Linked DNA regions of Drosophila melanogaster. The gene in region 2 interacts genetically with the main gene of each other region. Each region holds a gene or a part of one and is shown on either strand. Other genes may lie near its edges.

The links.
Region 1: of Dok (region 2) and Shark, changing one suppresses a phenotype caused by changing the other (phenotypic suppression), as found in Drosophila melanogaster (one study listed by BioGRID).

What each region holds. Positions count from the first base shown.
Region 1 is NT_033778.4:16,198,890-16,204,793, reverse strand, and holds Shark (SH2 ankyrin repeat kinase), read left to right. Parts: upstream 1-1,909; 5' UTR 1,910-1,966; coding exon 1,967-2,045; intron 2,046-2,153; coding exon 2,154-2,650; intron 2,651-2,712; coding exon 2,713-3,234; intron 3,235-3,288; coding exon 3,289-4,516; intron 4,517-4,575; coding exon 4,576-5,069; 3' UTR 5,070-5,368; downstream 5,369-5,904. Other genes in the region: mrj, read left to right, coding at 40-352, 413-497; Lipt1 (lipoyltransferase 1), read right to left, coding at 5,617-5,787, 5,848-5,904. UniProt on the Drosophila melanogaster protein: Following axon injury, required for recruitment of drpr and glial cells to severed axons and for glial clearance of severed axons from the central nervous system.
Region 2 is NC_004354.4:7,322,425-7,329,602, reverse strand, and holds Dok (downstream of kinase), read right to left. Parts: upstream 5,390-7,178; 5' UTR 5,015-5,389; coding exon 4,931-5,014; intron 4,068-4,930; coding exon 3,750-4,067; intron 3,507-3,749; coding exon 2,040-3,506; 3' UTR 797-2,039; downstream 1-796. Other genes in the region: Acsf3 (Acyl-CoA synthetase family member 3), read right to left, coding at 1-12, 96-285, 366-443; Atg5 (Autophagy-related 5), read left to right, coding at 5,931-6,083, 6,158-6,257, 6,340-6,445, 6,821-7,046, 7,131-7,178.

The DNA.
Region 1 (5,904 bases), on a different chromosome or scaffold from region 2:
GTAGAGAGTGTTCTAACTTTTATGATTATCGTTTTGCAGATGCCAATGGACATTCGAATGGCAGCACAAGCGGCTCGAGTGGCAGTCGACGCAATGGCGGCAGCAGTGGATCATCTCGCCACCATCATCATCACCACCAGCACAAAGTGGCCAGTCCGTTCGGGGCTCCAATGCTTAACTACTCAATGATGGACTTCTTTATGCCCACCAGCGGCTTCACCTCGTTCTCGTCGATGACCCACGGCAATGGCAGCAGCGGTGTCACCCACATCTCCAGCGGACCCGGTGCCAGTGTCAAGCGCACCTCCACTTCGACGGTGTTTGTGAATGGCAAGAAACTGATGACCAAACGGTATGATAAACTCTATCTGGCCATCATAGAATCGTTTCATATCTGCATTTGCATTTTCAGGGTCGTCGAAAACGGCAAGGAAACTGTCTTTTCATATGAAAATGATGTTCTGAAATCAAAGACTGTGATGGGCTCCCTTCAATAGCTAATTAATTAAATTCACACATAATATATATATATATAAATATCAACAAAAATCAACAAAGGAAAAGTCATAAATGTAAAGCCGAATGAATATTAACAAGCCCAAGAAGAACTCGGAATTCGTTACCGCTTCGAAATATGATACTTTTAAAACTTTAAAACTTTGCTCTACACTACAATTTAGTTACTTTTAATGGACCGAACAGCACCATAAATGAATCAACAGCCAGCGAAAGGACCAAGCAAAAATTAATCAACAGCAGAAACACTAACAGCAGCGATATCCACACCAAAAATATGGAACATGGAACAGGCCATTGAATTAAATCAAAATTCCCCGTAATAGCGAAATATGGAAATTTATTTTTTAAGCATAGTTTTTGAACACAGCTGCCCTACAACAAAATTGCACCGGTGGAATAAAGCCAACACCATCGAGCACCACGAGAATTAATGGAAAAACCATACTGAAAATTTAGCCAATAAGTTTTAGGGGCCAGATTTTAAATATGCTGTTCGGAGCGAGTGTGTTTGGGTGTATATCTTTTTGGGGGGGATAATTATGTATTCTTCGTGTATGTATCGTTAGTCACTTAAGTTGCCACAATACTTACTAGGAAATCGAAAGCGGAGAAATTCAATCTAAGCAATGAATCGGAACTAAAATAGGCTTTGCGTTAATTTTTCTTTACATTGTAAGGGATATGAATATGAATATTCTAAACGATGACATTTAATTTTTATAAATATTTCATAACCTAGATTTCTTTATTAATTTCGATGCTGTATGCTAGCGTATAGTCGTTTTTTAAATGCTTAAGACTATTCTCACATAACCTGCAGAGCGAAAAGAAAATTAATCGTAACATAATCGCCAATAATTTAATACTTTGTTAAGCGAAAATTTCATAATGAGAATAAAAAAAAAAACACATGAGAATGAAAATATACAATAGATGCGAAACAATTAAGACAAGTGTTTTATTACTACTTTAAATATAGTTTCATTTAATTAATTCGTTGAATTTCTGCGATGCAAGCTGATCGATGATAATTCTGACATAATATTAAATATTATTATAAATAGGTATTTTTATATAAACAATTATAATCACTTATGCGAGCATTTATATTGATGTATAGAATCAAGTTTTAATTGAACTCGCTTTTAAGTTATTTTTAAATCAGCAATAATGAATAATAAACCATGAAATCTTAAGAGTGAAATTTTAAATTTTCCCGCCAACTCTCTTTGGTTGGCAACGCGACCATCCCCTGGCCGTGCTGCCAACTTTTAGCGTGAAAATTAAAAGAAATTGAAATATCATAAGTAAAAAAGCCAGAATCAAGTGGAAGAAAGCTAAATTGGCAACACTGATCGCTGGCGGTATTTTCCTACGATCCACCAACGATCACACTTCCCCAAAATTATTAACAAAACGCAGCAGGATCGGAGCAAATGGCCCAAAAATGAGTCGCGATAGTGATCCCATGAAATGGTACCACGGCAACCTGTCCCGCGAGGCAGCCGACGAACTGCTAAAGCAGGGTAAGTGCTGGCGCAGGACGCCAATTGGCCTGACATCAGTGATGATCGCTGGGATGTGGGCGTGGTGGAGCACAATGATGGGTAATTGGTATGGCAATCAATCAACAGGTTACGAGGACGGGACATTTCTGGTGCGCGAGAGCAGCACAGCGGCCGGGGACTTTGTGCTGAGCCTGCTCTGCCAGGGTGAGGTGTGTCACTACCAGGTGCGGCGACATGGCGGCGAGGACGCCTTCTTCTCCATCGACGACAAGGTACAGACGAAGATACTGCACGGCCTGGACACGCTCGTCGACTACTATCAGCAGGCGGCCAATGGTCTGCCCACCAAGCTGACGGTGCCCTTGATCCGCGATCTGCCGCCGCACAACACTCGCAGCCACGGAGTGACCAATCTGCTGCATCGCGCCACAAGCAAAAACGAGAGCAAGGTCGTCTTCGAGCTGCTCAAGTGCGGCTATCGGAATTTCGATGCCAAGAATCAGGATGGACAGACGGCTCTGCATCTGGCTGCCCTCCACTCGGACGAGGATATACTGAAACACCTGTTGAATGCAAAGGTCCAGGTCAACAGCTCCGACTCCTTTGGCTGCCAGCCATTGCACGTAGGTTTACCCACGCACAACTATGCATAAAGCTCCCTATAACCATACACTTACATTCGTAGTACGCCGCTCGCTCCAAACCGGCCAGTTTCATACGCACACTCATCTCGGCACAGGCCAATGTCCAGGGCAGGAACATCGACAACGGCTATGTGCCGCTGCATGAGGCTGCCAAGCACGGCAACCTGGAGGCTGTGCAAGAGCTGCTCCTGGCTGAGGCTCCGCCGTTGCCCAGAACAAGTTCGGGTGAATTTCCATTCGATCTGGCCAAGGAAGCGGGCCAAACGGCAGTAGAAGAATTCCTGCTCAACTACAAGCTCCCACCGGCGAATACCACAAGAGACCAGTGGTATCATGGCACTCTGACCAGAGAAGAGGCAGTAGCCATACTAAAAAAGCATGCCAAGGAGCTATTGGCCAAGCAACCTGAAGTAGACACCTCCGGCTGCTTTCTGGTTCGCTACTCCGAGTCGCCGGCGGCCTCGGGGTTGGTTTTAACATTGCTTTGTGATCAGGTGGTCAAGAATTTTCGTATTTCGCAAGCTGATCTCTACCAGAATGGTAACAAGGTGCAGTCGGGCGGGGTAAGTTATCACCGTACTTTAAATGTTCTCTTTAAAGTAACCTCTGTTTTGCAGTCCAAGTTTCTGTACATTGATGACGGTCCCTACTGGCCAAGCGTGGAACATCTAATAGCCCACTTCATGCGTTTCTCGTACGGGTTGCCAGTGAGTCTCAAGTATCCGGTTCCGCCACAGCCCAAGCCAGAGGTGCCATCGTTTGCCACAATACCTCGATCTAATATGAAGCCAAAAGCAGCATCGCCCGCTACCCCGCCCACTCCAGTATCGCCACATTCGCATCATCAACACCCCCACGTTCCCGCCCTGACCATAACGAAGAAAAAGCAGAAGGAGAACAGTAGCTCAATGTTCAACACTCTGCGACTGACGAGTCCGAAGAAAGCGCTATTCGACATGAACAGCCTGCGCAAAAACAAGTCCAAGGGCAAACGCAGTGACTCCGAGAGCAGTGTGAGTGGTTCTTTGGCCGGAACGGAGCAGGAGCTGCAGGCAGCGGCACCCATGCTGAAGAGCCTGTCGTTCTCGACGGAGTTCTCAACGTTTAACGCGGATGGCGTAACTGGTTCTGGTGCCGCCGCTGCTGGCGAAGTGTACAACGTGCCCAGGAACAACACGCCCATTGAGATTGACCTGCCACCGATTGCCCAAAAGACTGAAGCCGAAGTTGAGTATTTCACGAAAAGTGATGTGGCCATAGAGCGCGAGCGAGCAGGTCAGTGGATCGGCAACGGCTACCAGCCCACAATGGACGTGCTATCCCTGTTGGATCAGCAGATCAAGGCGCCCGCCGTGGCGCGACTAAACTCGCTTGGTCCGAACGCATCAACGGAAAGTGAGATGGCCAGCTATCTTCATCGCAAGTGCAGCGGTACGCCAAGCACACCAAGCGCCACTGAGGTGGAGGCCGCCAAGCTGAGATTCTTTATTGAGCCAGAAAAACTAGTGCTGGATAGAGAGATCGGGCACGGGGAATTCGGTTCGGTGCACAGTGGATGGCTGCTGAGAAAGAGCGGTGCCGGCGAGGAATCGCGCTTGGAGGTGGCCATTAAGATGCTTAGCGACGAGCACAGCAACAAACAGGAGTTCCTGCGCGAAGCATCAGTTATGATGCGGCTGGAGCACAAGTGCATTGTGCGATTGATTGGCATTGCGAAGGGTGAAATGCTAATGATGGTTCAAGAGCTAGCTCCGTTGGGCTCCATGCTGCAGTACATACTGGATCATGGTCATGAGATCACGGCCAATGCGGAGCTGAAAGTTTGGGCGTCACAGATTGCGTGTGGTAAGTCAAATTCAAGACAATTTGATTCAATTCAATTAATTAATTAATGTTTGTACCAGGCATGCATTATCTGGAATCACAGCATTTTGTACACCGCGATCTGGCCGCCAGAAATATATTGCTGACCGCACGCCACCAGGCGAAGATCAGTGACTTCGGCATGTCGCGATCACTGAGACCCGGTAGCACGGAATACCAATTCACCCAGGGCGGACGTTGGCCCATCCGCTGGTACGCACCGGAAAGCTTCAACCTGGGCATCTTCTCGCACGCCAGTGATGTGTGGTCCTTTGGCGTGACCATCTGGGAGATGTTTTCCCTCGGCGCACCGCCATATGGGGAAATATCTAATGTCGATGCCATCAAGTTGGTGGACAGTGGCGAACGCCTGCCGCAGCCCAATCTCTGTCCAGCTTACATCTATGCCGTGATGCAGAGCTGCTGGAAGGAACGACCCAAAGATCGGCCAACCTTTGTCTATCTCACCGAGTTTTTCGCCCGCGATCCTGATTACCAAAACCTGCCGGAATTGGTGCAAACGGTTCACATTTAAGCCAGTTTCCATTTTCCATTTTTTCCGTTCTGAGTGCAATTTTCTGTAGCTATTTATGCAATGTCTTCTATTTCGTTTTCAACGTATTAACGATCTGGAACCCACAGATCACTATTGTTGTTCCGTATCCTAGTATTCATGTTTATAGCTTGTAATATATTTTTTAATCATATGTACAACCAATTTGTGTCAAAAGAAAGCGAACAAGTGCCTTAAAGATTTAGCATATAAGCTTTGTATTCATTTTTACAAATCCATTTTGTTTCATTGGTTATACAAAATAAAAACTATTTTTATACATACTGCGCTTTTTGATTTAGTATTAAATAATACAGCAGTATGCTTTAATAATCAATGTTTAAACATTTAATGCAGTTCTTTTATATAAAACGTGGTAACAAAAGTAAATAGTTTGTTGGTAAACCGCTTAAATACTAGGTTAGTAATATGGTTTCTTGGAAAGATTATAACTACGTTAGCGTGGTTAGTGCTCTAGAAATGGATTATATATTTTTTTGTTAATTTTTTCGAGCTAGCACAACAGTAATCAAGCTGATCCGTTTATTGCCTGCTTCACATTCGATGCGCTGACGAGCTTAAGGGCGCCAAGTATTCCGTTCAGGTTCTCCTCGTTGTAGGGCTTGCCCTGGAGCGGAGTCACCACCGGGACGAGCTGATCGCTCTGCGGCAGCTGGATGCCGATCTCCTTCATTAATCCCTACAAATTTAGTAAAATCATAAGTGATAATTCTCTAAAACAGGGCAAAACAAATCTTACCGCTTCCACTTCCACGCTTAGTTTCAGTTTCATGTCCTGCTCATCGCCCTTCACCTC
Region 2 (7,178 bases):
GCGCGGCGCCGCCTGAAAAAAGAGAAGAATTTGCAAACTTTTTGAAATTGAACCGTAAATAAATTGAACGTCCGGAAAAATGGTTTGTCACTTACCACATATATTTGAGATCTGAATGCCCAGACGTTTGGCGGCCATATACAATTGAAAATAAGTGTACTCCCCATTGATGTCTTTCACGGCGATCTCATCCGGATAGAGCATAGCCTTTTTGAACGTGGGCACCACCACATTACTACGCTCCTCTTCATCGAAACTATGGCGCAGCTTCTCGATGAAGCCATCCTGCAAACATTAAATAGAAATTGTGGAATTGCAATTACATAAATATTATATATATATATATATCTACCTATATATATTACCTTATGTATCAATTCGGCGGAGCAAAGACGGGCCAATGGACGCAACTTTAACTTGTGGCAACGGCGAAGTAGCAGCATCTTACTGTTTTTTTTTTGTTTTTTTTTTTTTTTTATGGATTATTTGATGGTGTGTGCGCGAATGCAGCTATTTTAAATAATAGTACAAAGAGCAAAATTTAACTCAGATTTTCAGTTGCTATCGCTTGAAAAGCCAAAACGATTCTGAGATTCGTAACATGACATACTTGAGTGGACACAAATGAAAGTCGTTCAATTCGATTTGTTTGATTTTTTGTTGGTCTTTATTTACACAATAATAGTTTGCAGACACAAAAATTAATAACTACAATAGTCATAATCGTAAACGTAAGGTAAGTAAAAAAAAAAAGATGATATATTTCAAGTAAAATGAACGTCACTATTTTTCTTTTGGTATTTTTCTTATTTGTGTTCGCCTTCGTTTGTTCGTTTTAATTTATATAAATTTTTTTTTTTTTTTTTTGTGACCTTTGCATAATACTCAAAACTGTCGTTTACAACAATCCTGGCTTGAGAACTCGAACGTGCATGGGGTAACGATGGGGCGGGTTTCTTATTTGGGTTATTGAGAGGAGGTGCAATCGAAAACAACACTTAAGAAACCTATTGTATATTTACAGTCTAAGATTGAGCAAAAAAAAAAAAAATAAGAGTCAACTATTTTGGGTGATTTTTGAGATAATGGCATTACACCGTTTGTTCCTATGGCAGCTATATGATCTATCATACAAAAACGTATAGGAATAACAATTCGAATAACCGATTTATATGGCATCAAAACCTTGAGAAGACGGACGGATAAACGGAAACAAGTACAATTGCAGTGTATTTAAAATCTAGTTCCTTTAAATATACAAAAACACATATATTTAGCATAAATCGCATACACATTTTGTAAATTTTCGTTACGTCCATGATTCGATTGAGTTTCATTTTTCTCTTGCTTTAATTTAACACTACATTTTAAGTAAGAGCCGGGGGAATTTTTCGAGTGCGATCATCAAGTGGCGGGCAGTGCTTGCTAAAAATGTAACAGTTTCACAATTAACAATACAATCACAGATTACGAATTTAACATAATTAACGAAAAACAATTACAAAAAAAAAAAAAATTGAACGATTCGAATGGTATTTGTTTTTGGCTTGGCAAAGGGAAGGACAAATTCTGGGATTTAGAGATTCGACGCACTTCCTTCCCTCGATTTCCAGCCAGGAATTTCTTTCTTTTTGTAGAACTGTAAGGCACTCGGCAGTCTCTTCTTTTTCACTTATACTCAAAATGTATGAAATTATGTAAAAAGTTACTGGCACGTTACTGTTTTCAATTTTGTTTTTTAAATTTTTTTGAACATACATTTACATTTGTTATCGCAACACTTAAAATGTATCGCGAAAAGCACACAAGCTTATTCATCTGGCGTCGTCCAATAACGAAATAGTCATGAATTTGACTACTGGGAAAATCCAAATTAACATGTCAACAAGTTGTGTTGAATTAAATTGAAAACAGCAACAGTTCTGGGACAAATAAAAACTAGGACTATCTCCTCCCGATCCACCCCAAAACCCCACTGCACCCAGTTCGATGCCAGGATCTCTGGATCCTTGCTATCGGATCTGAAATCCTTAAATATTTTACACTCGCTTCGGTTTGCTGACCATTGTGTAGTTGAGGCCATTATAGCTGCGATGATCGATGGCTGCCGCCTCGAGATTGCCGCCTTTGTTGGCCGTTGCAGTTGTGATGGTGCTACTACCGCCGCTGATATTGCTATTGGAGATTCCTAGATTATTATTGTTCGTAGTGGTGCTAGCCTTTCGCAGCACCCCGTAACCGCGATGACTGTCATCGGCTTTACGGAAGCTTTCCGTATCGGGACTAGCGATCAATTCGTATTCATTGGGTGGCGGTGGACTGCATCGTATGCGATTACCGGGTGTGACATTCACAATGGTCTTATAGCCACTCGATGTCTTATTGTTCGGCGATAGAAAGTCTAAACGATCGTAATTCGATTCACTAATGGATGTGGCGCTAGTGCAACCCTCACCGATATCGATGTCTATGATCTTGGGTGTATTTTGGCTGCCACAGGTGGATTTCGATACTGATCGCTGGCGTACAAATTCTGAGGTATCGCAGAGTATGGGCATACGTTCACTGTGCCTAACATCGCCCACGCCCCTTGTGCGCCACGCCTCTGTGATATTTTCGATGCACTCGTAATCCCGCTCCGGAGGCGGTGCTTTCGAGGCGCTCTCATTTCGCAGCGGCAAGTCGGGCGGTAAATCGGCTGCTGTTTCCGGCAGGGATATCGATTCGCCTTCCAGGGGTTTCAGTATCACTGAACTGTTCACATCGGAATTGGCGGATGGCGAAGATATCGTAGTTATGGCCACAGGTTCATATTTCACAATATTCCTGTATTTATCACAATGGGTTGTCGGGCTTTTGCGTGGCGGTTTGTTGGGAATGTGTTTGCTGCTGCTGCTGTTGCTATTGCTATTTGCGGGCACGGATAGCGTGATTCCTCCGGTACTTCCTAAAACGCCTCCACCCGTTGCTGTGGCGCCACTTGCTCCACCTCCACCCGCCGAGAAGTTATTAAGAGAATCGTTAGAGCTAATGAAGCCCCTCAGGGATATGCAGCTTTGCGTTGAGTTGATCTCGAACTCGCCACCGTGGGGATTACTCGACGGTGATGGTGGCAGTGGGCTTCGCGAACCGGGCTCCATGCCAGCTGCCGCACTAAACTGATTCTCACCGCACTCCAAGGTGCTCAGACTATCGCCGCTAATCAGTTTCTTCATCGACTTCATCTTGGCGGACATGCAGCGGAATACCTCCTGTGGATTGGTGTGATCCAGGGTGAAAACGCCTTCGCCGGTGGTGCATTTTCTGCCCGCCTCAAAGGTGAACTTGCCATCGCGATAGCCGTACTTCCTAATGAAACGATATGGCCACATGGCGATTGTGGCGCCCAAATCCTCCGATTTCAACTGAAGTTCAGTGGGCGTCATTTGGAGCATATATGTCTTAGGTTCAATGCAGCAACGAATGGAGGCCTCGGATGGAATCAACGTGATAATGAACAAGCCATCCTGCAAATTTATAAAAGGTGTGGATTATTATGGATTTTTTATGCGGTTCGGTTTTTTTTATATTCTTATTTTAAACGTGCCAATTATTGTCAGAGACTAAAAATGGAATTGGAGGTGCATTTTCACGTTAGTTTCTTAAGAACGCTTTAGATTCATCGTATACCCCTTTTGACAACTATAAGATTACGCAAATATAACGAAATACCCCAGAAAGTTTTCGCTTATACAGAGATGATCACTCACAAAGGAGCTGCAGTAGAGGTCGTTGTCCTCCTCGATGGCCCCGATTCCCCCCGATGGTGAGGTGTCACAGAAGGCCACCGTTTGCAGGGCGGTGATCCAATCCTTGAGCTCCTCCTCGCTACTTGTGCTCAGTGTTAGGGTAGCCTGCCGCTTGACAATGTGAATGAGGCGTTCGGGAGGCGGCTCCTGAGTGATCTTCACACAGTTTTCGAGGGTGAAGATTTTGGGGTTCCGGTCCTCCTTGCTTTCGCACATCTCCAGGCGGGCAATCCCATGCCGACTGGCCTTGAATAGCAAACAGTAGCGACTGCATGCTTTCTGCAAAAAAAAAAAGAAAAAATTGGGATTCGATTAAATCGGTTTGGATGTCTTAAAACGATTATATCTTAGTAACGTACTGAAGAAGATGTATTGTATATGTATATGTATATGCATATGAAACTGCAGTGTATAAATAACCAGAATCAATTCAAATTTGTCTTAAGATTTTGTAGTATCCTGCATTGGATAATGCTAAAAAAAAATATAAAAATAGAGTATGAGCATAATGGGCTAAACCGTGAAGTACTTATTCGCCCTCACTCTGCCCCTTCTCTGCGATCCCCTGCACCACCACCCTTTTTCCCCAGTTTTCTGCTGGCTCAAGAATTTCCTGTCGCGCATAAACACAAATACCACGAAGTAGCATGAATCGCCAGCTGTGTGTGCCATCTGAAACTCCAACAGTGGGGGTAAAGTTATTAGGATCAATGCATAGCATGTTATTCGAATTTTAATTTAACTTAAAAGCATCATATTATTACTGCCTGATATATTGTTTTTAAATACGGTTTCACTTAATTCATTAAAGGGTTTGTGTTGGTCTTGGAATATTAATATTATTAAAAATGATATGCTAATATTATGGCCTTAACTGTATGAAGTCGGCCCCTCTCTCGCTCACTCCCTCTACCGCGTATCGCTGTCTCACTCCCACTCGCACAGTGGGCCTCATTTGTATGCAACAAGTATGCAGACAGAAACACATGCACATAACACACTCACATTAACACATAGGTCCTGTTTGATTTATCGAAAACTACGCACTTGTAGGATAATTGCAAACAGAAAGTAACTTTTTAAACCCTGATAAATGGGGAAATATTTATATAGAAGGGCGGAAATACGGCGATTTTCCATACCTTTTTCGAGATGCGATTTAGCGAAAATCCAGTTTGGGTCGGCACATTAAGATATCCAGCCAAAACAGGTATTTCAACATCCATTCTGTGCACCACTCCTCCACCTCTCCTCTCCTTCTTCCCACTCTCCTTCGTCTCCTGCTCTCTTTCCCTCTCCTTCGCCGATCTAGCTCACACAATGCGCCTCCGATTCCGAATTGTTGTTGTTGTTGTTGTTGCTGGAGTTGGGCTATGCGATTTCTGGAGTTTTCCTTCAATTCATCCGTTTTTCTGTGCTTTACGATAGCTTCGCGGTCGCATTTAGTTGATCACTTCATAGTAAACATCACATCATATCGCACAGCGAATACGGAGATTCGAATTTCGAAAAGCGCAGCCGCAGCACAAAAAAAAATCACCAAAAAGCGAGCACAGAGGCAAGTCGACTTTATTTATTTATGCGCTGCACGGTTGCATGCAGCTGCTGCAATCGTCATCGATAACTAATGGCGATCGATAACTTATGGTTTTTTGGTAACAAAGCGGTTGAATTATTTCTTAGGTCTAAAATAATAAATTAATATCATATTTTTATAATCTTGGTATGTTTTCCTCTCCTAGCGCGCAATTTTAATTTCTCATAATTGCGTTGTTGGAGTTATCAACATTTCGATCAATACGAAAAACTTGTTATATTATTTTTTTGATATTTTATATTATTTTGAATGCAAATATATATATATATATATCTATGTGAAATATTAAGTTACAAATTTATGGTGAAAATATTTTCTGTGAGCAAATATTTTAATCGCGTGTGTTTAAAAAAATAGCTATGAATAAAAATAAATCAAACAGTCTGGCAGCAAAGTGGCGTGCGATATTTCAGCGTTGCCATCTTCGAATGCCAAGTGCCATCACTATTATCAAATAGCATTGTTTCACCCATCTGGTAACATCGCAAATCGTATTGTGCAAAAAGGAAATATAATTTAGCCAAAACAAAAGCCAAATAAGGAACATGGCCCACGACCGCGAGGTGCTGCGAATGATCTGGGAGGGCCAGATAGGCATATGCTTCCAGGCGGATCGGGACGAGATCGTGGGCATTAAGCCGGAGCCTTTCTATCTGATGATATCGCGACTCAGCTACTTGCCTTTGGTGACTGACAAGGTAAACAAAGGCTTCAAATGGAAATGGCCATACCAATTATAAGATCCCAATGACTGTCGTACATATCCTGGCAGGTTCGCAAGTACTTCTCACGCTATATAAGCGCCGAACACCAGGATGGAGCTGTGTGGTTCGACTTCAATGGAACGCCCCTGCGACTTCACTATCCAATTGGTGGGGTTTACATTAACGAGATGATGATATCATAGCATGCCCATTTGATACTAATGATGGTACTGTCTTGAATCCTGGTTAGGTGTCCTATACGATCTGCTGCATCCGGAGGAGGACAGCACGCCCTGGTGCCTCACCATTCACTTCTCCAAGTTCCCCGAGGACATGCTCGTCAAGCTCAACTCCAAGTATTTATTAAAGAAATCGCCATACCAGTTTGTGTACCCCACAGTCGTGTTTGCGAAATCTTATCTTTAACACGTCGTAACTTGGGATTGCAATCATATATAGTTTTCCCTTTTCGAGTCTCAATGAACAATCACCGTGGATGTCGAAGTAATAACAGGGTAAACAATTGCCCATCAAGCAAATCCCGTGTTATAAGAGAAAATGTCATATAAAAGTTGGACCAAATATGAATTAACAACTTCGCACAAAGATAAACGTACCACAATAGGGTTTTTAATACGTTTCAAATATTTGAAAATAGCATAGTTACCTCGACTAGGGTACACAAACTGTTGGTTCCAACTGAATTTTTACTGATGATCCGCAACTCTTAGGGAGCTACTTGAATCGCACTACATGTCCTGCCTGAAGGAGGCAGATGTGCTTAAGCACCGCGGCCTGGTCATATCCGCTATGCAAAAGAAGGACCACAATCAGCTTTGGCTGGGATTGGTCAACGAAAAGTTCGATCAGTTCTGGGCCGTCAATCGGAGGCTAATGGAACCGTATGGCGATTTGGAGTCCTTCAAAAACATTCCCCTGCGAATCTATACAGACGATGTGAGTGGAAAAGCCGAATTAGATCCGTTCAGCTTAAATTGATGGATTTTCCACTTGCTTTTATTTTATCTCCATTATTGATAGGACTTCACGTACACCCAGAAACTGATTTCACCGATCAGCGTGGGCGGA